Linked DNA regions of Elephas maximus indicus. The protein of the gene in region 3 interacts with the protein of the main gene of each other region in a pairwise test. Links are inferred from orthologs where the notes say so. Each region holds a gene or a part of one and is shown on either strand. Other genes may lie near its edges.

Region 1 (10,358 bases), on a different chromosome or scaffold from region 3:
GGGAGATCCATAATCCATGTTAATTTCCATCACTCAAAGACTGACATTTTTGAAGAATAGAAATACTTCACAACTGTGGCACTATTGATACAGGAGGCCACAGACCAGTGGGGTAGGTAAGAAGAAATGAGTGTAAGTACTTGCAATGATGATTAAATTACGATGTCACAGCCTTGACATCAAAATTCTACTGTGTGACCTTGGCCAAGTCCTCTTCTGCGGGTTTCAGTCTCTTTACAGGCTCAGGTCAAACCCTCTACTTTTCTGAATTAGAGAAGAACTCAAGAAAGACTTCCACAAAGCTCCTCACCCTCTCTTCACTCTACATGTTTTCCCTGGGGGAGTTCATTCACCCCCTTAGTTTTTCCTACCATCCTATCCTGTTGTATGTTGCCGTCACGTCAATTGCAACTCATGACAACCCCATGTGTGCAGAGCAGAACTGCTCCATAGGGTTTTCAAGGCTTTTGGAAGCAGATGGCCAGGCCTGTCTCCTGAGGTACCTCTGGGTGGGTTCAAACTGCAAACCTTTTTGCTAGTTGTCAAGCGTTTAACTGTTTGCACCACTTAGGGACTCCACCACTCTATCCTAATATCCCCCCAATCTGCCTCCAACTCAGACTACCCTCTCTGCCTAGTTGTTTCACAGGCACCTTAGACCATCCATATCCAAAGCCAGACTCATCACTTATCCTCCAAAACCTGCTTCTCATCCTCCAGAGTTCCTCTGCTCCATGTTGTTGTTAGTTGCCGTCTAGCCAATTCTGACTCATGGTGATCCCATGTGTTACAGAGAACTGCTCCACAGGGTTGTTTTTTTTTTTTTTTTTTTTTTTTGCTGTAATCTTAATGGAAGCAGATTGCCAGGCCTTTTCTTCCACAGCACCACTGGGTGGGTTCAAACCATTAATCTTTTCTTTTTTTTTAATTTATTTATTTATTGTGCTTTAAGTGAAAGTTTACAAATCGAGTCAGTTTCTCATACAAAAAGTTATACACACCTTGCTATGTACTCCTAGTTGCTCTCCTCCTATTGAAACACATTACTCCTGTCCTCCCTGTATTCCCCGTGTCCATTCAACCAGCTCCTGCCCCCCTCTTCCTTGTCATCTCGCCTCCAGACAGGAGTTGCCCACATAGTCTCATGTGTCTACTTGAGCCAAGAAGCTCACTCCTCACCAGTAACATTATCTAATAGTCCAGTCCAATCCCTGTCAGAAGAGTTGGCTTCGGGAATGGTTCCTGTCTTGGGCTAACAAAGGGTCCAGGGGCCGTGACCTCCAGGGTCCCTCCAGTCTCCACCAGATCAGGCTTATGGTCTTTTTATGAGAATTTGAGATCTGCACCCCACTGTTCTCCTGCTCCATCAGGGATTCTCTGTTGTGTTCCCTGTCAGAGCAGTGATCAGTGGTAGCTGGGCACCATCTAGTTCTTCTGGTCTCAGGCTGATAAGGTCTCTGGTTTATGTGGCCCTTTCAGTCTCTTGGGCTCATCTTTACCATATGTCTTTGGTGTTCTTCATTCTCCTTTGCTCCAGGTGCGTTGAGACCAATTGATGCATCTTAGATGGCTGCTTGCTAGCATGTAAGACCCCAGACACCTCTCACCAAGTGGCATGCAGAATGTTTCTTAATACATTTTGTTATGCCAATTGACCTAGATGGCCCCTGAAACCATAGTCCCCAAACCCCCATCACTTCGAAGCGTTCGGTTGTGTTCAGGAAACTTCTTTGCTTTTGGTCAAACCGTTAATCTTTAGGCTAGCAGTTAAGCATAAACCATTTGAGCCTTCTAGGGACCTTTCTCTACTCCGTGAAAGGTACCTAATCCCCCCGGTGAGTCAAACCAGAAACCTGCCCTCTTTTCCCTCCCCATCTACAATTAAGCAATCTCCAAGACCCTAATCCACCCCTTCTTTTTCACGACCACTGCCACTGCCCTAGTTTAAACCCGTTGCCATCGAGTTGCTTCCAGCTCATAGTGACCCTGTAGGAGAGAGTAGTTTTAGGCCTCGTCATATTCTAAACATAAACAGCCTTCTCATCAGTCTTTCCCCTTCTAGTCCATGCTCCATACTGATTATTTTGTGATCTTTCTAGCCAGCAAATCCCATCCTATTACTCACCTTAGACCTGCCTATGAATTTTTAACCCGTACTTCAGTGTTTCATAGTCTGCCTTTGAAAAATATCCATTCTGTTGGGGGTCGCTATGAGTCAAAATCGACTCGACGGCAATGGGGGTTTGGTTTGGGTTTTGGTCCAGCCAAGGACTTAACCACTGCACCACCAGGGCTTCTTCTGGTCCATAGAAAGCTAACGGGAAACACAGGTAAACAATTGTCTTTTTAGTGGTTATCGGCTACTAATCGAAAGGTCAGCGATTCGAACTCACCAGCCACTCTGTGCGAGAAAAATGTGGCGGTCTGATACCATAAGATTACAGCCTTGGAAACCCTATTAGGCAGTTAGTTCTACTCTGCCCTATAGAGTTGCTATGAGTTGGAATCAACTCGATGGCAACAGGTTTGGTTTTGTTTTTTGGTATTCTCATCCAAGGAGTCCCTGGCTGATGCAATTGGTTAGGTGCTCATCTACTAACCAAAAGGTTGGCAGTTTGAGTCCATCCAGAGGCACCTCCTAAGATAGACCTGGAGATCTGCTTCCAAAAGGTCACAGCCTTGAAAATCCTATGGAGTGCAGTTCTACTCTGCACACATGGGTGGCCATAGGTCAGAATCCACTCAGCAGCAACTGGTTATCCTTATCCAAGGAAACCCTGGGTAGTGCAAACAGTTAATGCACTCAGCTGCTAACTAAAAGGTTGCAGGTTTGAGTCCACCCAAAGGTGCCATGGAAGAAAGTTCTGGGGATCTATTATAAAAAATCAGCCATTAAAAACCCTATGAGGAGAGGAAAAAAAAAACCCCTATGGAACACAGTTCTACTCACACACATGGGGTCACCATGAGTCAGGATCAACATGATGGCAATTGGTTATCCTTATCCAAGCCTTTAATATGCTAATAAATGTTGAGACTCTTAAGTGGGAGCAAAAGAAAAGAGCTTTTCTTATATAATTTAAGTAGAGAAGCTTCATCTTCACTGAACATCTAACAGGACTAGCTTTCCACAGCATGCATTTTACTTTAGCAAACACTGGCCTAAAAGAAAAAATTAAAGACGTGTAAGGCCTTCTATGTTTTAGTCTTTTGGGGGGTGGCGCAGGGGTTGAGCGCTCGGCTGCTAACCAAAAGTCTGGCTGTTCAAACCCGCCAGCGAAGAAAGATTTACAGCCCTAGAAATCCTATGGGGCAGATCTACTCTGACCTGTAGGGTCACTACGGGTCAGAATTGACTGCACTGCAACCAGTTTGGTTTGTCATTTTTTTCCCTACCCCCTAGCTTCGTTCTCCATCACTCCCCACCCCCACACCCTTACTCCAATACGTCCCTGCCACTTTCCAAATATCACATACCTCATACCACAGAACTCATGCGAGCGTTGCTCTCTCTGCCTCCCCCACCTAGTTAACTCCTTCTCACCCTTTAAGACTCAGCCCAACCACCACCTCCCCTGAAAAGCCTTCCCCCTAGTTTCACATTCCCCCGGCACCCTGAGCTCCTCTTTATCAGAACATCTATCACTCTGTGTTGTCTGGCTCCTTTACCAGATAGTAAACTTTCTTGAGAGAACCGACTTTGCCTAAATGTTACACTATGCAACAGGTCCACTGTTGGGCCCCTTATTCTTTTAATGCCCCTTAAGACAAGTCTGAGGTGTCGATATTCCCTGTCCCATACAGCTAGGCTCCTCTTCTCCACGCCTCCACACAGACAGGTCCGAGCGCCTCACGTTCACTCACCGTTGCGGCTGAAGTACTCCTGCACTGCATCCCCCAGCCACTCGGCCTTCTCCTGGCTGTGCACGCCCCCGAAGCCATTCTCCACAGCGATCTGCAAACACAGGCCCAAGTCCACCATGTCAGCACGGGAGCCGTCCCGAGGTGAGGTGAGGATTCGCTGCTTATGCCACCCAGTCAAGCCTCGCCGGACAACTCCTGTTCTGCTCCAAGTCCTAACCTTTATCCTGTCCTTGGCCCCACTCACCTGTAAGGCCGGCCAAGCCTCCAGCGCAGCGCGGACGCCAGCTCCAAAGAGCGCCCACAAATCTCCACTAGCGCCCGCCATCATCCGGTCGCGAACCACGTGATGCGCAAGCCGACCAATCCCTCCGCAGCATCGTCCAGGCAAACCGACGCAGAGGCCGATCTGAGAATAGGTGAGCTTTTCGCTGAGCCGGCATCAAGGCTAGAGCAATAGAAAAGTCTATCAGAGCGATCGATGGGAATACCGCAAACCGAAACCCCCCCAAAAAACCAAACCCATTGCCCTCAGTGGAATTGCAACTCATAGTGGCCCTATCGGAAACCCTGGTGGCGTAGTGCTTAAGAGATACGGCTGCTAACCAAAAGGTCGGCAGTTGGAATCCATCAAGCTCTCCTTGGAAACTCTATGGAGGCAGTTCTACTCTGTCCTGTAGGGTCGCTATGAGTCGGAATCGACTGGGCAGCAACAGGTTTTAGTGACCCTATTTTTTATAGGACAGGGTAGAACTGCCCCATCTCTACAGGAACAAATTGCCACATCTTTCTCCCGCAGAGCGGCTGGTGGGTTCCAACCGCAGACTTTTCAATTAGCAGCTGAGCACTTAACCACTGCACCACCAGAACTGCTTGGCAACACCACAGTTACTTGTAATAAGGACGCCAGAAGTGGCGGACGGTTGGGGTCACTCGGTTTCGGATCCTGGGTTCTGGGCTATGGGTACTCCGCAGGAAAGATGTAGGGGGAACTTAAAAAAACATACATATTTCCGGTCCTTGGGGTGGAGGAATCAACCTTGGGGAGCCAAGCATAAAGAATCTGCATTTTTAAAAAGCATCCTAACAGCTATAGAGGAGAGCCCTGGGGGCGCTGCTAACCGGAAGGTGGGCTGTTCGAACCCACAAGCTCCACAGGAGAAAGACGTGGCAGTCTGCTTTCTAAGGATTTCAGCCCTAGAAACCCTACGGGGCAGTTCTAACCCTGTTATAGGGTCACTTTGAGTCGGAATCTACTCCACGGGCATGGGTTTTTAGGCTTAACATCTATAGAACACTGCACCAAGAAACAGCAGAATACATATACTTCTGAAGTGCACATGAAACATTCTTCAGGATAGACCATATTCTAGGCCATAAATTTACAAAGATGGGAATCATACAAAGTATGTTTTCTGACCGTAATGGAGTGAAATTAGAAATCAATAACAGAAAGAAATTTTGGAAATTCACAAATATGTGGAAATTAAAAAAAAAAAAAACACTGCCATGGAGTCATTCAGACTCAGTAACCCTATAGGACACAGTAGAGCTGTCCCATAGGGTATCCAAGGAGCACCTGGGGGATTCAAACTGCTGACCCCTTAATTAGCAGCTGCATTACTTAACCACTATGCCACCAGGGTTTCCATGTGGAAATTTACACACTCCTAAATAACCAATGGGTCTAAGGAAAAAAGGGAAATTAAAAAATATGAGGGATTGCAACTAATGTCACACTACAATATGTGTATACATTTTTGTATGAGAAATTAACTTGAGTTGTAAACTTTCACCTAAAGCACAATAAGAGAAAAAAAATACATTGGGATGAATGAAAACAAAAGCACAACATACCAAAATTTGTAGGATGTACACCAGCGTTCATTGCAGGACTATTCACAGTAGCCAAAAGCTGGAAACGATCTAAATGTCCATCAACAGATGAATGGATTAACAAAATGTGATACCTACATACAATGCAATATTGCTCAGCCATAAAGAGAAATGAAGTCCTGATTCATGCTACAACATGGACGAAAACATGTTGAGAGAATTTTTACAACAATAAAAAAATGGTTTGAAAAGTGTTGTGTGAAATAAGTCACAAAAAGGACAAATATAGTATGATCCCATTTATTAGCTTTACCAGGGGTGGGAGGAATGGAGGAAGGTGCAACCTTAGCTAGTTTCACTGAGGTTTACGTAGAAACACTAATTTCTAGCTTCACTTAGAAACAGAGTTTGTGTTAATAGTAGCGGAATGATTTGGAAATGGATAGTAGCTATGGTTGCACAACATGATGAATGTAACCAATGCCATTGAATCTTACATTTAAAAAATGTTAAATTGGCAAATGTTCTGTTATTTATATATGCGTACATATATATGTATATATATATATATATTTTACCACAATAAGACAATTTTTAAAAACCTGGGGGAAAAACACTTATAGGATACAGCTAAAACAATGCTTAGAGGGAAATTTGTAGCTGTAAATGCTTATATTAAAAAGGAAGAAAGGTTGCAAATCAACAACCTAACCTTCCACTTTAGAAAACAAGAAAAATAAGAGCAAAAAGTAATTCTAAAGCAAGCAGAAGGAAGGAAATGATAAAGACCAGGGCAGAAGTAAAATGAAATACAGAATAGAAGAATAGCGGAGAAAAATCAATAAAACCAAAAGTTGGGTCTTTGAAAAGATCAACAAAATTGACAAGCCTTTAGCTAGACTGACTATGAAAAAAAGAGAGAGAGAAAGAGAAATCCTAAATTCACAAAATCAGGGATAAAAGCAGAAGCATCATTACTGACCACAAAGAAACAAAATGGATTATAAGAGAATACTATAAACACCTGAATGCCCCAAAATTAGATAACTTAGATGAAATGGAAAAATTCATAGAAACACACAAACTATGAAAACTGGGTCGAGAAGAAATGGAAAGGGTAATGGAGAAATCTTAAAATGAGTAGTGGTGATGGTTGCACAACATGATAATTGTAATTAATGTCCCTGAATTGTACAATAAAAAATGTTGAAATGGCAAATGTTTTGTTATGTGTATAAACCAGAAAAACAAGCCAAACCCAGCGCCGTTGAGTTGATTCCAACTCATAGCGACCCTATAGGACAGAGTAGAACTGCCCCATTGAGTTTCCAAGGAGCACCTGGTGGATTTGAACTGCCGAAACTTTTGTTAGCAGCCTTAGCACTTAACTACTATGCCACCAGGGTTTCCATTATGTATATACTTACCACAAAAAAAAAAAAAATCAATGGGGAAAAAAAAAAGAAGTAGAAGCCTGAATAGACCTATAACAAGTAAAGATATTGATTTAATAATTTTAAAACTTCGCGCAAAGAAAAGCCCAGGCCCAGATGGCTTCACTGGTGAATTCTACCATACATTTAAAGAAGAATTAACACTAATCCTTCACAAATGCTTCTAGAAAATAGAAAAGGATAGAACAGTTCCCAACTAATTCTATGAGACCAGTATTAGCCTGATACTAAAACCAGACAAAGACATCACAGAAAATATATAAATAAATAAACACCAATATCCCTTATGAATATAGATGTAAAAATCCTCAACAAAATACTAGAAAATAGAGTTCTGGAACACATAAAAAGGACTAAACATCATGACCAAGTGGGATTTATCCCAGGAATGTAAGGTTGGTTGAAAATATTAATGTAATTAAAAATTAATGTAATGTAATACACCATATCAATAGAATAAGAAACAAAAATTACATGACCTTAATAGATGCAGAAGCAATGTTTTTCAAAAAGCCAACACCCTTTCATGATAAAGACACTCAATAACTAGGAAGAGAAAGAAACTTTTTCAACCTTATAAAAGGCATCTATGAAAATCTCACAGCTAAATGGTGAAAGAATAAATGTTTTCCCCCTGAGATTAGGAACAAGATAAGGATGTCCAACCTCACCACTTCTATTCAACATTGTAGTGGAGTTTCTAGCCAGGGCAATTAGGCAAGAAAAAGAAAAGGCACCCAGATTGGCAAGGAAGAACTATATTTGCAATGACATCATCTCATATGTAGAAAATACTAAGGAATCCACAAAAAATACTGTTATGACAAATGAACAATTTCAGCAAGGTTGCAGGATACAAGATCAATATAAGAAAACCAATTATATTCATATACATTAGCAATGAACAATCTGAAAGTGAAATTGAGAATTGCGTTTACAATAACATCAACTAGAATAAAATACTTAGGAATTGTCTTAGTCATCCAGTGCTACTATAACAGAAATACCACAAGTGGATGGTTTTAACAAAGAGAAATTTATTTTCTCACTGTTACGTTGCTGTTAGGTGCCGTTGAGCTGGTTCCGACTCATAGTGACCTTATGCACAACAGAACGAAACACTGCCTGGTCCTGCGCCACCCGTACAAACGTTGCTATGCTTGAGCTTATTGTTGCAGCCACTGTGTCAATCTACCTCCTTCAGGGTCTTCCTCTTTTCCGCTGACCCTGTGCTTTCCCAAGCTTGATGTCCTTCTCCAGGGACTGATCCCTCCTGAGAACATGTCCAAAGTATGTAAGACACAGTCTCGCCATCCTTGCGTCTAAGGAGCATTCTGGTTGTACTTCTTCCAAGACAGATTTGCTTGTTCTTTGGCAGTCCATGGTGTAGTCAATATTCTTCGCCAACACCACAATTCAAAAGCGTCAATTCTTCTTCGGTCTTCCTTATTCATTGTCCAGCTTTCACATGCATATGATGCTATTGAAAATACCATGGCTTGGGTCAGGCGCACCTTAGTCTTCAAGGTGACGTCCCTGCTTTTCAACACTTTAAAGAGGTCCTCTGTAGCAGACTTACCCAATGCAATGCGTTGTTTGATTTCTTGACTGCTACTCCCATGGCTGTTGATTGTGGATCCAAGTAAAATGAAATCCTTGACAACTCCAATCTTTTCTCCGTTTATCATGATGTTACTCATTGGTCCAGTTGTGAGGATTTTTGTTTTCTTTATGCTGAGGTGCAAGCCATACTGAAGGCTGGGGTCTTTGATCTTCATTAGTAAGTGCTTCAAGTCCTCTTCACTTTCAGCAAGCAAGGTCGTGTCATCTGTATAACGCTGTCTAGTAAGCTAGAAGTCCAAATTCATGGTGTCACCTCCAGGGGAAGGCTTTCTCTCTCCATTGGCTCTGGAGGAAGGTCCTTGTCATCAATCTTCCCCTGGACTAGGAGCTTCTTCACACAGGAACCCAGGGTCCAGAGGATGCAACTCTGCTCCCGCACTGCTTTCTTGGTTGTATGAGGTCCCCCCTCCTTTGCTCACTTCCCTTTCCTTTTTTTCTCTTGAGAGATAAAAGGTGATACAGACTACATCCCAGGGAAACTCCCTTTACATTGGAGCAGGGATGTGACCTGGGCGAGGGTATTACAATCCCACCCTAATCCTTTTTAACATAAAATTACAAAATGGAGGACAACCACGCAATACCAGGAACCATGGCCCAGCCAAACTGATACTCACATTTTTGGGGGGGCATAATTCAATCCATGACAGGAATAAATTTAACCAAGTATAAAAACGGCATGGGGGCAGTGTCTGACCTCCTCTAAATTTACAAGGGGGAAGGAGAATCACGATCAACAGCCAAGATTGATTCCTATGAGGCAGAGGTCAGATATGCCTCCTCTCTACACCATCTTTACCAATTCTGACACCAAATGTCCCTCCCACAGCACTCTCTGTCTCTCTGCTGGATTGGATAATTCATTACAGTGGCCACACAGAACTCACAGACAATACTCATGATGTTGGGGTTTATTAGGGAAGTAACGGGTTACAACTCAGGTTCGGGAATGCTCAAGATACAGTTCTTCTATCAGGATAGCCTCTTCCCAGCCATTCTCACAGGTATGCCTCTCCCTAGCCCTCTGCCTGTGTGGAAGGGCACTCAGCTTTCTCGCTCGGTGGACCAGGAAGCCCACCTCACAGTCTCTTCTGCTGGTCTCTCCTGCCACCACTTCTTATCGTTTTTAGGGTTACAGCTTGCTATCTGTTTCCTGGGTCCAGGAGCTTCTCAGTGCAGGGATCCTGGGTTCAAAAGATGAGCACTCTGCTTCTGGCTGTTCGTCTTTGGTGGTGGTGAAATCCTACATTTCCTGCCTCTGGGGTGGCTCGTTTCAAGCCCAGTGGGACAGCAAAAATGACCAATCCCTTTGGTGGGTCACAATTACCCTATCACATAGTCCCGCCGAATCACTTGGGTGGGAGTTACAAGACCATGGCTAGAAAGGCCACACAAAAGTGCTCCATTGCACTGCACCAAGGAAGTGCAAGACCTATACAAGGAAAACTGCAAAACATTGTAAGATATTAAAAACCTAAATAAATGAAAAACCATCCCACGTTCATGGATTGGAAAATTCAATATCGTTAAAATGGCAATAATCCTCAAATTGATCTACAGATTCAAATGCGCCTCATAATAAAA
Region 2 (10,541 bases), on a different chromosome or scaffold from region 3:
AGGAGCCTCTCAGCCCAGCAACCAGGCTCTAGCTGAGCTTCACCTTCACACTCTGAGGCTCCAAAACTACAACCCACTCCACAGAAAGGCAAACTGAGGCTGATAGAGGCAGAAGCTCTGCATGAGATTTCCCTTAATTTGGGCTGGACTTGGGCCCGCCCCACTCTTTCAGAATCACCATTTGGAGCTAGGGAAGGGTGGCCTCATGAGGTTCTCAATGGTGGGGGGGCGGGCAGAGGAAGGGTAGCAAGCTTCAAGTAGCTGCTTCGACTGCAGCCTGGCTCTTTGCCCTCTGCACCCGAGCTATGACTCAGGGTTGGAGTATGAGCTCTCTCCTCCCTTCCTGTCCACCAGGGTTACAGTTTCTCCCTCCTCCAGGGGCAATACCAGCCCCACCCTGGCCAGGTCACCAGCCTAGCTCAGCTGGCCACCTGGGCTGCTGGCTTAAACGCACAGACCCTCTCTGAAACTTTGCTGCATCTCCACAAATTCCAAGGGATTTTTATTGCTAGGGTCCCAACTGCCCAGGGTCAGGAAGAACTGGGACCCACTTCTGACACCAAAGAGACAGTGTAACTAAACATACTTTTTTGCAAACATACTAGGCAGAATAACAGGGCAGAAAGAAGTGTGGAAAGTCAAGCCACATTACACATCTGAGCCTCAGTTTATCAGGTTCATAATTTACAGTTGCAGTAACACCTGCTTTGTGAGGTTGCTGTGAAGACCTGGCACCTCATAATAAGTAGTAGCTATTGTGAATGGAGGGTAATCGTGGGGTCTTCTTAGCTTCAACTTGGAAAATCCGGTACCACAGCTCCAAGGACCTGTCTCCTTTTCATGTCCTTGAATCCAGGGATCCCACTGTCCAGACCAGCCTCCTTCTACCTTGCTGTCTCCTGCCCAAGGGCTCAGATAACAAGAGGCAGAGAGCCCCACCCTAGTGGGGATTCCAGGGGAATTATGGGCAGACCAATCTTCCATCTATCTTCCCAAGTGTCTCTACCTGTTTCCACGCACCTGGGAAAGCTAGGGAAGAGGGGCATGGCAAGATTCTTGACAATGTAGGTCTCCAGAAACAAATGTTTCCCAAAAAAGGCTTGTGACAGAACTTTCCACCTCAGGCAAAACGTAGAGGACACATGGCTGACAGGAAAGAAAGACAAGGCCTCTCTCCCTCCCCAAAGGCCCTGTGGCAGCCCTCCAGAGTGCCTGACACAAAGTAGGTGCTCAATAAGTATTTGTAGAATGAATGTGGGAATGAGGTCACCTTGTTTCTCCCCCAACCCTAATCCCAGAAATCCTCTGGGGAAGAAGTAAATCTCAACCTCCTTCCTCAAACATAGTCATCAGCGAATACATATTTATTCACCGTGCAGAGCACACTGGGTACTGCAGGTTGGGGGCAGGGTGGCCAGTCAGAGGCGACAGCATTTACCCACCTATACCTTGGGGAGATATGGCTCAGGGAGGAGAAAAGGCTAATCCAGAGGAAGTAGCTTGTGCTTTGGGCCCCGTTGGGGATTAAGTGCTGTAGGGGACTTGTAGAGGAACGGCCAAATCTAATTTGATTTTCCTGTTGTAACAACCTCTTGTTGTAAACGGGAAGCCTCAGGAACTTGGCTAGAAACAGTGCTTATGGGACGGAATTTTCCCCCATCCCAGGTCTCAGCACAGTGTCCTCCAGCACCAGTTCCTGGGTCCAGGTGCCTGTCCTTACTGCCAGGAGGGGGTTGGGAAGAGTAAGTCTGATACCTGGATATTCCAGGCCTCCTGCTCAGTGCAGGGGGCGAAGTCTTCCTGGGGTCACCTCCTGTAGGGAGAGCTCTAAAAAGAGGGAGGAATCATCAGCTCCCACTCCCCTGGACAACCCCCACCTGACTGTCCCCTTCCAGCTTGGGGAAGTGAACAGCTGCGGAGGGCACCTTGAGGAATCTCTGCCCCCTCTCCCCTTTGACACACAGCATCAAAAGTCTTTACAAGGGAGCTGGGTGTGGGGCTAGACACAGGATCTCAAAAGGTAGGGAGGGCATAGCCTACCACAACCCCTTGTGGGCACTTTGGCAGGTGCTTTCCAAGTACACTGCCCCACCTCCAAGGAAATGCCATCATCATACCCATCTGACAGATGGCAAAAACTGGAGCCCAGAGCTGTTCATAAAGCTGACAGGAGCAGACTAGAACTAGGACCCAGTCTCCCAACTCCCAGCCTAGTAAGTCCTCCATCATATGGGCCTTACATGGATAAAATTGTCTACTGCCTCTTCCCAATTCATGACTGTGGAGAAAAAGGGGGCACAGGGAATTCAAAGTGCAGAAGCCAAAATCTCTACCTCCAGAGAAGAGCAAAAAACCCAGGGTGCAAAGACAGATAAACTTCTCAAGGGAACAATTCTTGATCTAGCCCTCCAAGCTCAAGTCCCACCCTCCAGAGGCTGGAATGGTCATTGGGAAGGTCAACAACTTCCCCTTCTGCCCACACATCCCCCCCTCTCCCCGCCCAGCCAACCCAGGACAGACAGTGAAACAGCAGCAGTCTTATATGCCCTCTTCCCCCAAGAGCAATTTCAAACGTATTTCTGAACCTCAGAATCCTATCCCCTCACCCTGATCCAGAACCAAAGGTCACAGAGGAAGTTTCAGCCCCAAAGGGGAGGAGAGACACAAAGTATCCAATGAGCTATTCTTTCCCAAACAAAACCAGCTTCAGGTCGGCAATGAACTTGGCCCCAGGGCTCTGCAGCCTTCTTCCACCCTGAACCCCCTCACCCCTGCCAATTCAAACAGAAAGGTGGGAATATTTGCACTTGGGTCCGCTTTGGGAGGTGGGTGGAAAGGCACAATGGAGAGAGGAACAAAATCCCAGTGGCCTCTGCTCCTGTCTGGGGAGGGGATGTGGAGGGGGTCAGATTTTGCCTTAGGGTCCTAAGGAGCTTCCAAGAGGACCGGATCAGACCCAAACTGTGCTGGAAACACCCAATTCTATTCTTCTCCCCCCCCCCCGCCAAAGTATAATGGCAACCAGATGAAGGAGTCTAGGATGGGGGTGGCGCGTATACGGACCCCCAGGGGACAGTGAATTTCCAAAAGGCCACCTTCCTTTCCCCCCAAATACCTTCCCTTTTCCTTGGATTCCTCTGAACTCAGCCAACCCCACCCTCCATTGGGGAAACCTGCTTTGAAAAGTTAGCTCTTTGTTCTACAAACCGGTCTCCAAGCTCTGAGCACAATTTCTGGAGATCTCTGTGAAATATTCCCCACACACACCCCACTCCAGCACCCGACCCCGCCCCGTTCAGGCTGGGCCTCACAGCACCCGGAATTGGCTTTTAATTTGAGGTGGGGGTTGGGAAGCGAAAGGAGGAGGTCTGATAGTTCATTAACCACCGAATCACCAAAGGGACCGCATGTCGTGCAAAAAGGGGGTCCCGCTGTGGGGTGCGTGTCCTTATCCGAAACCCCCTTCACCATATGCAACACTCGCCGACTCATATTCGCCGCCTCCCAGTCTCCAGCCAAAAAGCTGGGCCATCCGCGACCAGAGGGGACGTCTTCGCATGCCACCCCCCGTCTCTGCCCCGCCCCCTTGCCGCCCCCTCCCCCAGCGCCCAGCGCTTCCGCCTACTTGGCGCTCCGCGCAACGGGGAAAGGGAGCGGCCGTCTCCTCTCACTCTCCCGGCCTTAGGGGGTGGGACTGCACCCCTAAATACCCGCCACACACACAACCGGCTTCTCCGCTCCCCTTCCATTCTCCCACCCCCGGCGCACAGAGCCCACTCTTCTCTTGGAGTGGTCGCCCGCCACGCGTGGACTCTCCGTCTCGCCTCAGATCTCCTGGATTCCAGACTGGGGTCTGCCCCCATATCCCATGACACCGCCCTCCCTCCCACCTCCCGGGATCGCCTTAGACCCGGCCCCTCTCTCCTCCCCCAACCTGAGCACTCCGGGATTGTAAAAACGCGCCTCCGGTTGCGGGCTCACCTTATCCAGGCAGTTCACCTTCTCCGTGGGGTACACGATCTTACTGCACCGGGCGCAGCTAGGGTTCATGGCTCCGGGAAAGGCTGGAGCGGGAGCGCCCGAGCTCGCGCGCGTTCTCTGTCCCCGGCGCGGGCTGGCGGGAGGCGGCCGCGGCTGCGACTATGCAGACAGCGACGACGGCGGCTGGAGCTGGGGAACTGGCCTCCGCCTCCGCCCTCCTTCCCCTAATAAACACGGCGAGGAGGAGGGGCTGCACCGGGGCGGGGACGCGCCGCAGGCGCGAGCAGGGGCGCGCGCGGAGAGGCGCGCTCCCCGGGCGACGTGGGGCTGCGCGGGGGTGGGTTCCGGGGAGGGCTGCGGGGCTGCGGGTGCGCGCCTAGGTGTGTCCCAAGGGCCCCCGCGCCCCTGCATGCCCTGGCAGACATCCCCGGGAGAGGCGCCCCCGAGCCATTCTAGCGCTAGGAGCAGTGCGGAGCGCGTTTGGGCGCACACCTGGGGCGCCCGGGCTGAGGGAGGTGGCCAAACCCCGCGCACCTGTCCTGAACGCCCGACCAGATTCACCGTAGGGCATTATTCGGGGACTTTCCTTGTACCCGTCGGTACCTGGTGTGACCCGCAGACTGAGCGGGAACCCTCCCCGCCCCGCCCCTCAGTTAGCACCCCTCCCCCATATATCCGTTCCCACATTTGTAAGGCGGGACCTGTCGCTCCCATCCCAACTCTACGCCTGGCGGCCCTGGGTGGTTCTTCCCTCCCCGCGCCTCTGCCTCGTAGCTTTCCCCCGGGTTCTTCGGATTCGGGTACCTTCTGGTTACCGCTTCGCCCCCATTCCTCCTTCGTTCCTTTCACCTAATCCCCACGTCTCACGCTCAGTGTAGTAGCCGCAAGTGTATCTTAGCACTTAAAAGAGCGAATTTCAGGCGGTGGAACGGCGCGGGGGTATAGCTCAGTGGTAGAGCATTTGACTGCAGATCAAGAGGTCCCTGGTTCAAATCCGGGTGCCCCCTCTAAAGTTTTTCTCTCTCCCTTCCTTATAACTACTGTAACTTTCTTTTTAGTTTTTCCTTCACTCTCATATTTTAACACTGGGTCCTAGGTTAAAAGAAAAAAGCCCCTTCCTCATTTTCCAGCCTCAGCGGAAAGCCTTCGGTTTTGCTTTGTGCTCAGCGGAGGGGGAGGGTGCGCGGACAAATCAGGTACAAAAGCTGCCGGAGGGGTCGGGATTTCTGCGGCCACAGCTGCCAGCCCCAGATGTGTCAGGCAATTTGAGGTGCGGGATCAGAGGACAGGATGACTTCCCCAAGTTGCCATTCCGTTCCCAGTGGGGTGTAGGGAGGTGGGTCAAGAGAGGAAAATCCACAGAGACAGCCCTTCTCCAACTTCAACTTCCTTTATTATATCACCGGAGACAAGGGCGTGCTGTGGTCACCCTTCCCTATTATTCATGACACAGGCAGTGCGAAACCACTTCGAGAACGTTAAAATGCCCAATGCACACCCCTAAGCTCATTTTTAAGTACAAACTTAAAAGTTTTAATCTGATGCAACCGGATACAAGCTAATACAGTGGTTCTCAAACTTCAGCGTGTATCAGAATCACCCCCTGAAGGGTTTGTTGTTTGAAAAAAAAAAAACAGTTTAAATATCCCCAGAAAAGCACTTTTCTTTTTTTCCTGAGCACCCTAGATCTGATTCGGTAGGTCTGGCCCCGATAATTTGCATTTCTAATAAGTTCACAGGTGATGCTGATGTTGCTGGTCCCCGGGGGTCACCCTCTGAGAACCACTGAACTAATAATAATACCAGGCCATCGAGTTTCATAACCTAATGGAAACATATCTGCTGTCTGCCTCACTGACAGTATCACCGTTGGGCAGGAGGGAAATGTAAAGTGTGAAAAAAGGAGAAGCAGGAACGTCCCTCTCCACTGGGTTTTGCCCAAAAAAAGGAAAAATAAAGGAGAAAGGGAGAGGCACGCTGCCTGGGTCAGGGGGCAGCGGCAAGATATTTTAGATCTGGAATCTGGTTGTGTCATGCCTCCGGCCCCGGGGGAGTACTCGGGAGCCTTTTTTTTTTCTTTTCTTTTTTTAACATGGTTTCCATTACTGTGAGCTGCGTGGCAGAACTGGACATGAATAGAGAGCGAAAATTCTGTCTGATACCAAACACTCAAAGAATAAACTAGTTTTTGCTTATTTCCCCAAGACCAGGCCCCGAACTTAGAGCCTACAAGTTACGCAGGCAAAAGCTCTAATCTCCATGGCAATGTAAAGAACGGAGAGTATGGTCTTTCACCTTGTCTTCCATGTGTGCTGTGTCCTCTTAACGGGTGTACAAATCTTGTAAGTTTGGATTCGTTCTTTTAGTTTTCCTGGTTAGAATACAGGCTAGGCAAAATAATACTATTTCCCACCACGCCCTGCTCCCAACACGCCATTTTCATCCAGAAACGAAATTACAATTAACATTAAACCAGGTAATAACCAGTGGGTTTGGATCAGCCTCGGAGTTCGCTCGGCGCCTCGATTCTGCTTTGAAACAGCACGCGTGGATTTCTCGCCGGCGAGTCGGGGTACGCGGCTCAGACTTCTGGGTTGCTGCTCTGGTTCTCTGGCTCGGAGAACATGTGAAAAGGTAAACCAGGTGAAAAACGCTGCTCACGGATCGAGAAAAACGTCGCATCTGTGGGCACAGATTCAGATTCTGAACTGGCTGATTTTTAATTCGAGTTTTTGTTGTGACTAAATTCCTGCCATAAAAGTGAGAAGAGGGGGCACCCGGATTTGAACCGGGGACCTCTTGATCTGCAGTCAAATGCTCTACCACTGAGCTATACCCCCGCTCTTGGCAACCGTCTGGTAGATTCTTTTTACACCAATTCCAAAACCCCTTTATGCTGGAGATTATTTGTAAAAAGTAACTTTCTTCTTTCTCATGACAAGACACAATTTTAGACATCAAATTCAAGACATGGTAGTTAGAAAACATGAATTTATGTACCAATCTGCCTTTTCTAGGCTCAATTCTTTATCCACAATCCCATTCATCTCTCTCCCCTAACAAGTCAGAGAACAACGTCTTTCAAAACTAGATAGGGAATGTTTTCCCCTAATCTCTCTAAAAAGAATACAAACACCAGCTTAAAAAGCATCTCCGTTTACACTGAGAATAATTCCCTGGCCATGTTCTCTAGTGGTCTCCTTTCTTTCTTTCTTTTTGGAGCACTTATGTGCACGTTTAGCTCTAGGCGCAGGAGTTACTTTCAACAGAGAGAAACAAGGTTCTCATTCTCACTGCCTTAACAGTCTAGTGAGGAGTATACATTAGAAATAAATCCACAAATAAACGAGAAAATACCCGGCAGTGATAAGGAAAATGACTGAGGAATCTGGCCATCTGGGGAAAGTGTGGCATTCAGGTAGAGGAAATGACTACTACAAAGGTTCTAAGCCCAGAACGGCTGGAGAAAGGCGGACAAGGGGGAGAATGATTCAGGAGAGCTGGAAAAGTAGCAAGGTCTGTGGAGGGCCTTGTAGATCTCAGTAAGGAGTTTCGATTTTATTCCAAATGTATAGAAAGCCACTGGACGGTTTTCAGCAGGAGTTTTTTTTAAATCGTCACCTAGACTGCTAGAGATAAACACTCAAAGGGAAAAAATAACATACCACGAGAAAGCAAATGCAGAGGGTAGTAGAACTGGGGAGACAGGCCGTTGATGAAAAGGGAAAAAAAGTCACAGACTTTCTTAAAATTTGGCATTGAGAAAGAAACCAATGGGGAGGCAATCACAGATAAAACAAGAATTTCCCAATCTAGGAACCTGTTGACACTGGAAAGAGGTGGAGTGGTGATTGAAGATACCGGGGAGAATAGAGACAATGGGGGCAAGTCTGGGATGGGAGCAGAGGTGGTCTTAGGAAAAGCGAGAGAAACACTTCCTCTTGTGTGCAAATCACTGGGTTGGGGATTCAGTGTAGATCAGGTTACATGCAGAGAGGATGGAAAGTAGACTTAAAGAATTCCCAGGTGCCAGAGTAGAAAAGGCTGTAGTGATGGCGGAGAGACACTCCATTGCACATGGCACGGACCTTTAAGCCTGGGTCAGAAGCGACTTCTCCCTACTTTCCCACCATTTGGGCCCAGATTGTTTAGTGACAAAAGCGTAACAGCCTCTGTGATTTTTTTTTCCCCCCTCCAGCATCATCCGCTCTTTTTTCTGGCCCTGGGAAACCTGAAGTAGTTAATTATAGCCAAAAATCGAAACAAAACCGTTGCTGTTGAGTCGATTCTGACCAAGCGGCCTCTTAGATCAGGGTTCCCAAGGAGCGGCTGGTGGCTTTGAACCGCCAGCCTTTTGGTTAGTAGCCAAATTTCTAACCACTTGGCCACCAGGGCTACTTGTATTAAGCTGCTATCAATTACCAGAGGCACTGTCCGTTCAGGAGACATGACAATTAAGCTGTAATCTAACGCTTTCCAGCAGAGGGGGTATAGCTCAGGGGTAGAGCATTTGACTGCAGATCAAGAGGTCCCCGGTTCAAATCCGGGTGCCCCCTAAAGCTTCAAGTTTTATAAAAGACTACGTATCTTATCTACCCTCAAAGTGAGCCCTGGCAGTGCAGCAGTTGAGCGCTCGGCTGCCAGGTGACAGGTCCGTGGTTTCGGTAAAGATTTACAGCCTGGGCAACGCAATGGGGGCAGTTTTAGTCTGTTTTATAGGGTCGCTATGAGTTGAAATTTGATTTGGTTTGGGGGTTTGGTTTGCTTTTGGTTAGTCATCCTCAAATGAACAAAATGGAAGACAATGGAAGATATTGAGTGAACGCAGTTTAAGGCAGAACCAACTAGAAATTCTGGGAACAGAGAAAAGTTAGCGCTGCTTACCCCGCTGACAATTTTACAACCAAAAAAACCCCCAAAAGATCCTCCAATCCAGGAAACAAACTTCTCCATCGCCCAGGTGTATACAACTGAGCAAGTATTCTGTTTCAAACACTCTGGGAATACAGAAAGGAATAAAAATGCCTTATCCTCCTGAGCTTCACCTTCTAACATCAGATCAACATACAACCAAATAAATTACTGTACAGTGTGGTATCTCTAACATTTCATTCATCCTCTAAATCACTGGTATCTCAAGTGTGGTCTGAGAACCCTCAGGTATCTCGAGACTATTTTAGTGAGTCTTCCAGGAAAAAGGAGCTATTTTCATAATAATACTCACCCATTATTTGCCTGTTTCATTCTTTCATGAGTATACAGTGGTACTTCTACGTGAAGGGTGATATTGCAACAAATTAACTGTAGAAACAGATATGAAAATCCAGCTGTTTTTCATTAAGCCAGACGTTAAAGGGATTCCTCGAATATATAAAGCAATGCCACTCTTCTCACTAAATTATTTTTGTTTAGAAAAATATTATTTTCACTCAAAAATGTTATTTAGATTAACAGGATTATTGTTATCTTCAATTAATAAATAAACGTTTAAGCATTCCTCAATTTTAAACTCTAATTCAGTAAATGTCGATAGATAGAACCCATATAAACCAAAATTCTTTGCGGCCCTCAATAATTTAAGAGTGTTAAGTGTTTTTAAGGTCAAAATATTTGAGAACCGCTGATCTAAGAGGTGGTTCTGGGGGAGAGAATGCTGGGTTTGTGAGATGGCAAAGGGAAGAGGTGACATTTGAGCAAAGTGTTGAAAAACTCATAGTGGGTAAAGCAGAAAAGAGCACGCACAGATACAAGGAGGTGTGAAGCAGAAGAATGTGTCCAGAAATCCTAGGCAGTTGGGGGTTGCTAGAGTATGAAGTGTGAGAGGCAGAATGGAAGATGAGGCTGGAGAGACAGACAGACCAGTTCCTGAACAGACTCCAGTGCTATGCTAAGGAGCTTGGACTTTTTTCCCCAAGCACTGGAGGGCCAGCACAGGGTTTTAAGCCAGGGGAGGTTATGGTCAGACCTTTCAGAGGCAGTTGCGATAGTTCACATGAGAGCCTGAACCGAGGGCAGATTGGGAGTCATGGACAGAAAAATTCAGGAAGTAGAGTCAAGTAAACACCCGTGGAGACTAGCTCTGGGAGCCTAGGGGGAGAAAACGAGAAGAGGACAACCAGTCATGTCCTAGGTTTCTGAACAGTAGTGGTAGCACCAACCAAGAAAGCTAATACAGGCAAAAGAGCAAATTTTGGGAGAAAATGATTCTTCCTGTTTTGGTCATGGTACGTCTGAAGTGCCTGAGCAGTGGAGATGTCCCAATCAACAATTGAAAATATGTGTCTAGAGCTAAGCAGAGATGTCTGGGCTGGAGAGGAAGACTGGAACATTTTTAACACCAAAAAAAACCATAATCCCAAATAAAAGTGAAAACTTCTTAGAAGGATGCCGATGTATGGAGACCATTGAGGTAGACCTCTCCATTTATTAAGCAATCATTCAACATAAATTTATTGAGCGAGGCCAGGCCCTACGCTAAGAACTGGGGAAAGGCTGTTGACCAAAAAAGACGTGGATCCTGCCCTTATGGAGCTTATAAACTTAGTGGGGGAGTCATTAAA
Region 3 (10,145 bases):
TAAAGCACAATTAAAAAAAAAAAAAATCTGTGTACAAAAGTTCATAGTAGCACTATTCATAATAGCCAAAAAATAGAAACAACCCAAATGTCAATCAACTGATGAATGGGTATACAAAATGTGGTACAGCCCTACTATGGAATATTATGTGGCCATAAAAAAGGAATAAAGTTTGGTATGATGAAAATGTTCTAAACTTGATTGTATGATTCCATTAATACGAAATGTCCAGAACAGGCAAATCTAAAGAGATAGAAAGTAGATTAATGGTTGCCTAGATAGAGCTGGGAGTGATGGGAGGACTATAGATTGGCAGTTAAAAGTGTATGGGGTTTCTTTTGGGGGATGAAGAGAGTTAAAATTGATTGTGGTGACGATTGTGAAACTCTGTGAATATACTAAAAACCATTGAATTTCACACTTTAAATGGGTAAAACTTATGGTATGTGAATTACACTTAATAAAGCGGTTTTTAAAAAATCCCCCCAAAGAAATATACTTTGGGGAAGGCTATCACCCCTGGCCCTATAGTTGTGAATATAATTCCTGTGGTCAACAGCTTCCCATCAGTTCAGCTACCAACCGCAGAGCCACACCAGCACGTGAAGGAGTCAGGTGTTTCTTTGTGAAACCACCACTGACCTATGAAAGGTCTTTGCTCTGTTTCCTTTGTGCCACTACAGTAGCTTGTACTGCCCTAGATCATGGAGTTATACCATATTGTAATTGTCTATTTTCTGTACCAGCTGTGAATTCTTTCAGGGCAGAGTATTAACCAGGGTCTAGCATAGTTTTTTTTTTTTTTTTTTTTTTAGCATAGTGCTTTGCACTAAATGTAAGACTGAACAACTATCAAGCATCACACACAATACATGAAGTCAGAGACTATTATTGGTAAAGATTACATGAAACGTCTTTTAAAAACAAGGCAGAGAACCAGCTGGGAGTGCACTTTACCCCACTCCACCAAAAAAAAAAAAAAAGGTAGTTCAGACTGTGAAAGGTAACTTACCCAAGGTTATTCAGTAGGTCAGGGCCTAGAATTTGACCCACTGTAAGTCCAGGAGTGTTCTCTGCACCAGTGTGAAGCCATCCCATTCTTCTCCCATCAACATAACCCAGTCACAGAATGAACACACTAAGTCTCTGCAGCTCTGTTCTCACATTATCTCCCACACAAATTACTCAGTCCAGTCCCGTCAGCTTAGATTTCAGGGCAAAATTTATTTGGAGAAATTAAGTAACCTGCAACAACCTCCCCATTCCAAGGTCTACCCCTCCACCCTTCAACAAGGCTGTCCCATCAGGTATGGGTTGGGAGGGAAAGAGAGAGGGTGTGGTTCCACTGTGCAGTTACTCTCTAGACTTCAACATGAGCTATCTCAGCCCTGAGTCCTTCTGCCCACTGCAACTTGTTCAGAGTGCAGTGGTGCTGCCCTGGCAGCATTTAGGTCGGTGGCCATCTCCTGAGTCGACTCACATTTCAGTCACTGTGATTAGTATATGAGGGACCAGTGGTGGTGACAAAGGCAGAAAAGAGGCACAGGGTAGTGAGGGAATACCCTCTCTTAAAGAGGGTTCAAGGAATGACACATGGAATGCTCAGTGTGTTAAAGTGCTCAACTACAATATAAAAAATAAAAGTTGGGAAGGTATCTACTAGTAAGAAAGTAAGTTACGATCAGAGAGGCTTCTGGAAAGATACAACAAAATAGGTACAGAAAAAGATCTCTGCTCACATCATTCCAGCAGTGATGAGGGAAGCTTAGAGCTTAGTCATCCATTTACTCAAACTCTGAATCAAGTGTATCTCTACGTAGACACTGGTTCTTTTAACCCTTCACAGAGACCGAATGTAAAATTTATCATCATGTCTTTTTGCTCTAACTCATCTCTCACCAAATAACCCTCTGATCTGAAATTAAGTTTCTTGAATGGACGCCACCACCAGGAAAGGAGGGTCCATTATGGGCAAGTGATCAGTTTAAATATGACCTGTAAACCACCTTCCTATCAAGTGGTTAAGGAGCCCCGGTGGTGCAGTGGTTAAGCACTCAGCTGCTAACCAAAAGGAGGGCAGTTTGAACCCACCTGCCACTTCGCAGGAAAAAGATGTGGCAGTCTGCTTCCATAAAGATTTATAGCATTAGAAACCCTATGGAGCAGTTGTACTCTGTCCTATAGAATCGTTATGAGTCAGAAGCAACTCAATGGCAGTGGGCTTTGGTACAGGGTGGTTAGCAAAAACCCGGGGTGAGATGAGAAATCTGAGTTTCCAAATTGCCAGGCTGAGGCCCACACTGAAGACAGAGGTTATACACAGACCCATAATGTATCTACCCTCTTGACATGATTACAAGATCCAGGATTGAAGTGCAATGATAGTGAGGGGTGAGTATCCATCAGTAGCAGTGGCTCTCTTGTCCTGAAAATCAGTGTATGGCCTCAGAAATCACTTGTAAGTCCAGTGGGCAGTGGCCCAGCCCTGGCCCTTGCATAAGTCCTGATGGCGAAGGAAACAGGCATGGACTCTGAACCTACGGCCACAGTGGGGACAGGCGTGCAGGGCTCCAGCATGGGTCTTCATGTGCTCTGTCAGATGGTGCTTCAGCTTGAAGCGCTTGTTGCAGACGCCACAGCCAAAGGGCCGAAGGCTGAAAGTCAGCATGATGTGCCTGTCCCGCTTTGGCTTCACTGCAAATCGCTTCCCACACAAGCAACCAAAGCGTTTTCCATCTGCAGGGGGTGCCTCTCCTAGTTTCACAGGCCCATGCACAGCTTGCCCTGCTCCCCCAGGTCCTCCACCTCCTGACAGGATTTCATTCCCATGAAGATCCACTGGTTTCCAGGAGGGGCCTCCTCCCCCAGATGGTGCGTCTGCTCCTGAGGGCAGCAATAATTCTAACTCCCCATCTCTTTCAGTGTTCCGAGGGAACACTTTGGTCTCCTCCTTTGTTCCTCCAGACTGAGTTCCACCTCCTAGTATCTCTTCCTTAAGCTCAAAGGGTTCCTGCTTTATGTAGAAGATCTTGAGGGGCAGTGCAGTAGAAGTGGTAAGAGGCTCTGACGGAGCACTCTCGCCCTCTGGAAGCTTGCAGGGAGTAGTGGATTTTGGTGATGGGTGGGATCCATGAAGGCGGGGGAAATCTCCTGACACTCTCTGAGGCTGAGGAGTCTGCGAGAGTGCTTCTGACCCCTGGTCCTCATCTTCTTCTTCTTCCTCCTCCTCATCTTCCTCTACCTGAATCTGTAATACCTCTCCCAGTTCATTTCCCTCCCCTACAACAGGACTCTCCACAGAGGGCGATGACTGCACTGGGGTCTGGAAAGGGGGAGATCGAAGGCACCAGCCTCCTGCAGTGGATGTAGCGGAAAGAACTGAGCGGTATGGGGTTGCTCCACGGGCTGAGAGTCCACCACCTGAGGCTTCTAGTTCTTTAAGAACCTCTGAGCACTGATCTACTACTTGCCACATCTGGAGGCCACTGGCCACAAGGAGGTGGGCAGGCAGAGCATCTAGTGGCAGGTGGAGGCGTCCTGAGTAAATGAGTTGAAGTAGCCCCTCGAAGGCGTCAGCTTCAATGACATTCGGCAGGGTGAGACGCGGTGCATCCCCCAGAAGAAGCTTGTCATGGAAGTAAGGAGAGGCAGCAGCCAACACGGCTTTGTGAGCCCTAAGTTCCCGACCCTGCACCAGGAGAGACACATCACAGAACTTCCCCTCTAGCCTGTGGCGGTTCAGGGTTTCCAGCAGCGATGAGCTATGCTGAGGAAACTCGATCTGGATTGTCCGTGGAGCTGGGTTGCAGACGGGGGAGGGGGCCACAGGCGGCAAAGGCGTCGAGGTATCCATGGCCTCCTCGGAAAGAGAGCGATCCCAGAGGGTGGCCAAGAGGAGAAAGGGGGCTGGGGAGAGATCCCACGCGGGATGAAGGCTGTGGAGGAAAGAGACGGGGGGTCACAGAAGCCCTGGATAAGGGGAACCATGTCTCCTCAAACAACTACCCTCCAACATTTGTCAACTTTTCAGTCTGTGGAGGTTTTGGCAGATTAGTCCCGCACACTTCCCCACCAAGAAAACAAAAAAACAAACAATAACGACAAGTTACCAACCGGGGTTGTAACTTCCAAGGCCTGCGGAATAAGATGAGGAAGTCTCTCATCCACGAGCCTGACCTCGCCAGCTCGGGGTCGCTCCTGCCCCGCCGCTCCGTCTCCCTTCACGGTGCCCGAGGTCGGCTCCGGGGAGGCCACGGCCAGCAGAGACCGCGGGGCCCCGCCCGGCTGCCCTGCCCGCCGACACACCCCCACCGGTACACACGCGGTGTGGACCTAACAGCGCATCCGCAGCTTCAGCGCGGTCCTGGGCCGGAAGTCGCCGCCTCCTCGCCGGACGCCTACGCCGAGTGCAACCAGCAGGCTGGGGCGCCAGCCAATCGGAGGGCGGCAGTCTACAAGCCTGGTATTGACTGGTTGAGCGGGTGAGAGGGGCGGAGCTGGTGCGGTTTCTGGCCTGGCGCCTGGGCCGAAGAGGTGGCTGGGGGACGCTGCCGACTCGGTACGTGGGGGAGCGAGTTGTGAGTCGCCCCGGAAAACTGCGTTTCGTGGTGATGGAATGTAGCGCCCGGCCCCCCATAGGGGCTGAGAACGGCGAGATTAATTGGGCACCTACTGGGAGCTAGATGCTTGGCCACATCATCTTTTATCTTCCCACCAGCTCCTCCACGTAGGTGTTTACATCCTCGGTTTCCATGCAGGAAAACCGAGGCTGGAATAAACTCAGCTGGCAAATGGTGGGCCGGGAACTGGAAACCAAATTTCCTCCATTCCGCACAGGAGCGTTTTCACCAGCAATGAATTAAACAACCCTTATTTCTGGTAATTATTTTTTACTAGGGGGCAGTGGTGGTTAAGTGGTAGCGTTCTTGCCTTTCACGGGGAAGACCTGGGCTTGATTCCCAGCCAGTGCACTTCAGGGCAGGCACCATCAATGGAGGCATAGTGTTGCTTTAATGCTGAATAGGTTTCTGAGGAGCTTCCAGACTAAGAGTAGGAAGAAAGACCTGCCTATCTAACAAAAACCAGCCAATGAAAGCCCTATAGGTCACCAACTGGCCGATCCACAACTTGATCATGGTGATGGTGCAGGATCAAGCGGTGTTGTGTTGTGCATGGGGTTGCTATGAGTACGGCCAACTTGATGGCAGACAGTTTTTTACAAAGTAGTTTTTTTAGGTACATGTACTTGGAATCTTCTATCAGGAGCCCCTCCCCTCCTCCATCTTTGCTCCTTCAGTCTAAGTGGAACGGTGGGTGAGGGCACACTACATTGGGGAGGTTTGACTAGTCCCTGCAAAACCCCTACTCTTCATAATAAAAAAAAAAAAAATTAAATCTCCTTGCTGGGTGGGAGAGTCATTCTGTGAGGATTTGTGCACTCAGAGAAGGATAATAGTCATTTCTCCAGACTGTTAGTCTCCTCTCGAAAAGCAGATCCTACCACCCTGCTGGTCCATCTTGAGGGCCTCGCCTAGGAAAGTCAGCACAGCAATAAAAGAACAATCTCTGTTTATTAAACATTTTTCTGTTTCACCACACACTCCAGAAAAAAAGGAAACGGGGCTGGGAGTGGAGAAAAAGGGACTGTGATGGGGGATAGAGAAGGCTGGGAGTCATGTGGGGAGGGAGAACGAGAAAACAAAATAAAACTGGTAGGAAAAGCGTCCCCTACCCTTAGGATGGTGGGTGGGGAGGGAGTGGAGGGGGGGGGCCGGGAAGCTCTGTACAGAGGGGTTGCCCCCAGCCCACACGCGCACACACACACACACACACACACACCCTGGATATATACAGTACAAACCCCAGATAATTACAACAGCCAAAGAGGAGAGGAGGAACAGGGGTCCAGGGGTAGGGCCTGAGGTGGGAAAGCAGAGGAAAGGGCACAGGGATAAAATTTCACATATTTACAACTTTTATATAAGTATAAATTTGGCCCCGGCTGGGTGTATGTGTGTAGGGAGATGGGTCTGAAGGGGAACTGTCCATACAAAAGAAAGGGCGGAGTCTGGGAAGAGTCTCAATACCAAACGCAAAGGATGTGGAGGCAAGGCTAGGTAGGGGACAGCAGTTAGGGAAGAGGGGGTGCCTAGGAGGGGCTTCTCCCCTCCCATGGCCTACCCACCCCAAACCCCATCCATCCTACCTCCCCTATCCCGCCAGAGAGCTATGTACAGAGAAACACCGAAAAATTCTGGAGCTGGCGGGAGGGAAGGGGGAGAAGGGAGATTGGGGGGTAGGGAGGATGAAAGGGAAGCACAGCCCTGTCCTACCTCCTCCCAGGGGACACAGTCATGGAAGGGGGCCCCCCCAACACCCCTCCTCCATCACAGGTCCCCCCCACCCTGGGGGGAGGGAGACATGGCTTTTCCTAGAGTAAGTTCCCCCCTCCCCCTGGGAGTAGAGACCAAGAAGAGAGAGGGGAGGGGCAGGGGGACTGTATGTGAGGATATGGCAGGTAAACTAGTCTGTCCTCCCCCACATACACACCGTCCTAAACCCCATCCCCTCACTCTAACCTCAATTCCACCCCACCCAACACACTGGGGGAGGGGGGGGCATGAGCCCCCTCACCCCGCTCTGGGACCAGCCGAGAGCAGATCAGGTGTGGGAAGAAGGGAGACAACTCCCATTCCCCCCTTGCCGCCCCCTCCCTGCCCCGGTGGCCCCCTCCACCCCATCTGGGTTCTGGGTGGGAAGGGAGTAAATTTAAGAGTGGTGGGAGGAGAAGGAGTTTGTGCGTGCTGAGCCCCCCCAGACGCTCCTGAGAAATCAAGGGGTAATAGGGCCCCCTCACCCGGGGTCCCCTCCCCATAACAAGGGGGGCAGGGGAGGCCAAAATGGGGCGGTGGAGGGGAGTTAGATTGTCAGCTCTGGTTACTGCTAAAAAATCACCCTGAAGTTGAAAGTTTGGAGGTACCACACCCCCAGGGTGGGGGCGAGGTCTGTCCCCCAGTGCTCAGGGGAACGATGAGGCAGAGGATGGGGATAGCACCCCGGAGTGAAGGGGTCTGTGTGGGGTAGGTGGTGTCCTAGGGCTAGGGTCCCTGGGGGTCACAGAGGGGGCAGCACCCCGACAGGTAGGAAAGGGAGCAGCTGAGGGTCCCCACTCTCCCTTCTAGGAATGGTGCAGTGGGGGTAGGGGATCGGTGCTCCCCAAGGAGGCATCCAGGGAGGCACTCCCGCTGTCCCTCGGTGAAGTCCAGTCCTGGTGGTTGGTGCTGTTCCGGGGTGGAGTGCATGGGCGAGGAGGAGGATGGGTCGGTGATGCTGGGTGGGCTAGTGGTCTGCGGTGTTTCGGAACTCGCCGTTCTCGGTGATCTGTAGCCGGGGTGGGGGGGGCGGGGCTGGGGGGGCCAGGCCGTTCCAAGGTGGGGCCAGCGTCACACGCGGGTTTGTTGGACCCAAGGGGGGAAGCTGCCTCTCCTGCAAGATACCAAAGAGGAGAGCGCGGACTTATTGAGACGCTTCGCGGGAGCCTGGGTGCCAGCCCCCTAGCTGTGGCCTCCCCCATAGCCCGACCACTCCACAAGCCATGTCCCACCCCCTCCCCCCAGGACAATCCCCACCATCCTGTTTTGTTTCTCACCTGCAGTAGAAGTTATGTCCTCTGGAGTCAGGGAGAAGAAAATCTCAACCCTAGACTCCTAACTGGGGCCTTCAACCCAGGGAGTCACACCAGGAAACCAGCTCAAAAGAAACAAGTTCCTACCTTTCCCCAACCCAATCCCCTCTATCTTTACCGCATACTCCCTGCCCAGCCCACCCTCCTTCTCTTGGGACCCGCCTCCCAGCCCACCCCGAAACCCGAGGTAGGAATTTTGTGTTGAGGGAACAAGGGGAGGCAGTACAGCAAAACCTCATTAATCCAAACCCCCATGGATTTGGAATTTTTGTCATAATCTGAACAGAAACTGGGCTTGAGTTTTCCTTTATCTCTGAAGAAAGGGTGTGCTAAGCAAATTATGGTGGAAATGCATCTGTAGGAGGGAATATTTAACCTATACCAGAAAACAGACTTTTCAATCCTATCTATTCATTAACGCATGCTCCCTGAGGGCCTCGAGTGGAAAAAGCCTTGTTCATCAAGTTCTACTTACTGTATGTATTTTGAAGACATGCATTTCATTAAATAGACACTGTCATTCAGTTTTGTCACTTATTCAGAGTGGCCATCTTCTCAAATATAACATTCCAAATTAGAGAGGTTTAACTGTACTGGGGGGAAAGGAAGGGGATTCAGGGAAGTGATTTGGAAAGGGAAAAATGTTGTGGGAGGGATTGCCTCTCTCACACTTCTGGCAAAAAACGACTAGAAGCTTCTGCAGAGACACAGCATGCCCCAATCTCTGCATCCCCAGGAAGCAGAAACTGGCTCCATTCCTTTCCACCCCCATCTTCTTTTTAATCCCTCTCCCTGGGATCCCAGCTAGAGAGTGAGAGGTACCAGACCCTACTCACTCCCACCTCTGGTCCTATTCTCATCTCCTCCTACTAATCCTGGACCAATTCTTGCTTCCTACCCTCAGCTGAGAGAGAGAAAGAAAGCCATCTGTACTTCTGGGTCACTCACTCGGGTTTTTTAAAATACAGAGTCAAAATTAATTTTAATACTTTCATCTAAAGCACAATAGAAAATTTTTTTTTTTTTTAATTTTTTAATAGCCAAGTCACACAGGGACTGATACCCAGAAGTGGTTTCAAACAAATGTCCAAATTGTTTCCAGGGCCACAGGGCATTTAGGCCTGGCAAAGTAGCTATGCCTGACCATATCCTCCAAGAATACAAAAACATTCCAAGTAAAGGCTCCCAGATGAGCAGCTCTCCCTTCCATCCCAGGATCAAAGAGCTCAACTCTCAGTCACCAAAACCCCAGCCTTGAGCAAAGCTGCCCTCTTAGCTGGCTGGGTGTATCACACACTTTCTCCAAGTCAGCGAGAGGAAATTACGTATGCTAGGGTATCCTGAGATGGCGGGAGAGCAAGGAAGGAAACCTCAGATTCCCTTCTCTCTGCTCATCTGCTGGCGACAGCACTTAGGCATGCCCCCTACACCCCCGTGGACCCAAATTTAGAAAGTAGATAAATTAGGGTGCCATTATTCATTTTACAAAAGAATTCACTGCAGGAGTCCTTTAAATGGTGAGGTCCCCTGGTGCCTTTTAGCATCTGTTGACAGATCACTAACTACTCTGACAGAAAGGCTGGGCAGGCAGAGAGTTAAAATTACAGTGTGAGGAGCCACACTGCCCACTGCAGATCAATCCCACAGAAAATAAAAAAAAAAAATAAAAATAAAAATAAAGCATCTTGGAAATGATGTCAGTCCCTAACAGGTTCCCATTTACAGGCTTTTTAGGTAGGAATATGTGTCCGGCAAGGCCACTGGGTGGCAGGAGAGGAGGAGTGAGTAGCCTTAGCAACCCCTTGGGGCTGTGAGTTCTGAGGAGAATAGAGAGGTTATTTAACACGCTGTTCCTGGCATCTCTGCCTGGGAATCAACATGGCTACTAAGCCCATGATCTTATCATAGAAAGAAGATGTCTCACCCCACAGCCAACTCCCACGCCACACGGTCAAGTCCTCACGGGCAAGCCCACATCCTAACATCTGTCCAAGGTTCCTTTCTTGCCCATTCTCCTTCCACCCATTAGGTTCTCCTTGTTCTACCATCAGGACATCTGAACAGCATTATTTCCAGGGCCCTCCAAAGTCTCCCTGAGTTAACCACCCATTCCTAACTCCTGCCCAATGAGGGCTAATAGGTGCCCCAGATGCCTTCTGCCTCAGAGTTGTAGGGAAGGAAGAAGAGAGAGAAGTAGGTGAGGGGCAGAAAGAAGGGGTAGATAACCAAGGTTAGGGAAGGAAGAGGAAACCCCAACCTACCTGCTGCAGTCGGCACAGCCCCTATAGCCAGGGTTCCCCAACCCATCATCACCTCCACCCCACCTCCAACGCCACAACCCCCAAGGACGCTCTGGTGAAATGGGGGGTGACAGACGTACACTGGAGAGGTCAAGGAAGAGGAGAGTTTAGAGTCAGGAGGAGGCTGTGGGGGGTGGCTTTGTAGGATGGAGTGTTTAGGG

The links.
Region 1: the proteins of ZBTB9 (region 3) and TSR2 interact in binary tests that used the Homo sapiens proteins (3 or more experiments, as listed by UniProt). The two-hybrid records come from large-scale screens. The link is inferred for Elephas maximus indicus from reciprocal best matches to the Homo sapiens genes ZBTB9 and TSR2.
Region 2: the proteins of ZBTB9 (region 3) and LASP1 interact in binary tests that used the Homo sapiens proteins (3 or more experiments, as listed by UniProt). The two-hybrid records come from large-scale screens. The link is inferred for Elephas maximus indicus from reciprocal best matches to the Homo sapiens genes ZBTB9 and LASP1.

Annotation. Positions count from the first base shown.
Region 1 is NC_064846.1:113,559,150-113,569,507, forward strand, and holds the start of TSR2 (pre-rRNA-processing protein TSR2 homolog), read right to left. Parts: upstream 4,211-10,358; 5' UTR 4,193-4,210; coding exon 4,109-4,192; intron 3,956-4,108; coding exon 3,865-3,955; intron 1-3,864. UniProt on the Homo sapiens protein: May be involved in 20S pre-rRNA processing.
Region 2 is NC_064837.1:46,397,993-46,408,533, reverse strand, and holds the start of LASP1 (LIM and SH3 domain protein 1), read right to left. Parts: upstream 4,211-10,541; 5' UTR 4,051-4,210; coding exon 3,982-4,050; intron 1-3,981. UniProt on the Homo sapiens protein: Plays an important role in the regulation of dynamic actin-based, cytoskeletal activities.
Region 3 is NC_064819.1:96,272,362-96,282,506, reverse strand, and holds ZBTB9 (zinc finger and BTB domain-containing protein 9), read right to left. Parts: upstream 4,377-10,145; 5' UTR 4,164-4,376; coding exon 4,114-4,163; intron 3,936-4,113; coding exon 2,453-3,935; 3' UTR 669-2,452; downstream 1-668. Other genes in the region: SYNGAP1 (ras/Rap GTPase-activating protein SynGAP), read right to left, coding at 7,339-7,485. UniProt on the Homo sapiens protein: May be involved in transcriptional regulation.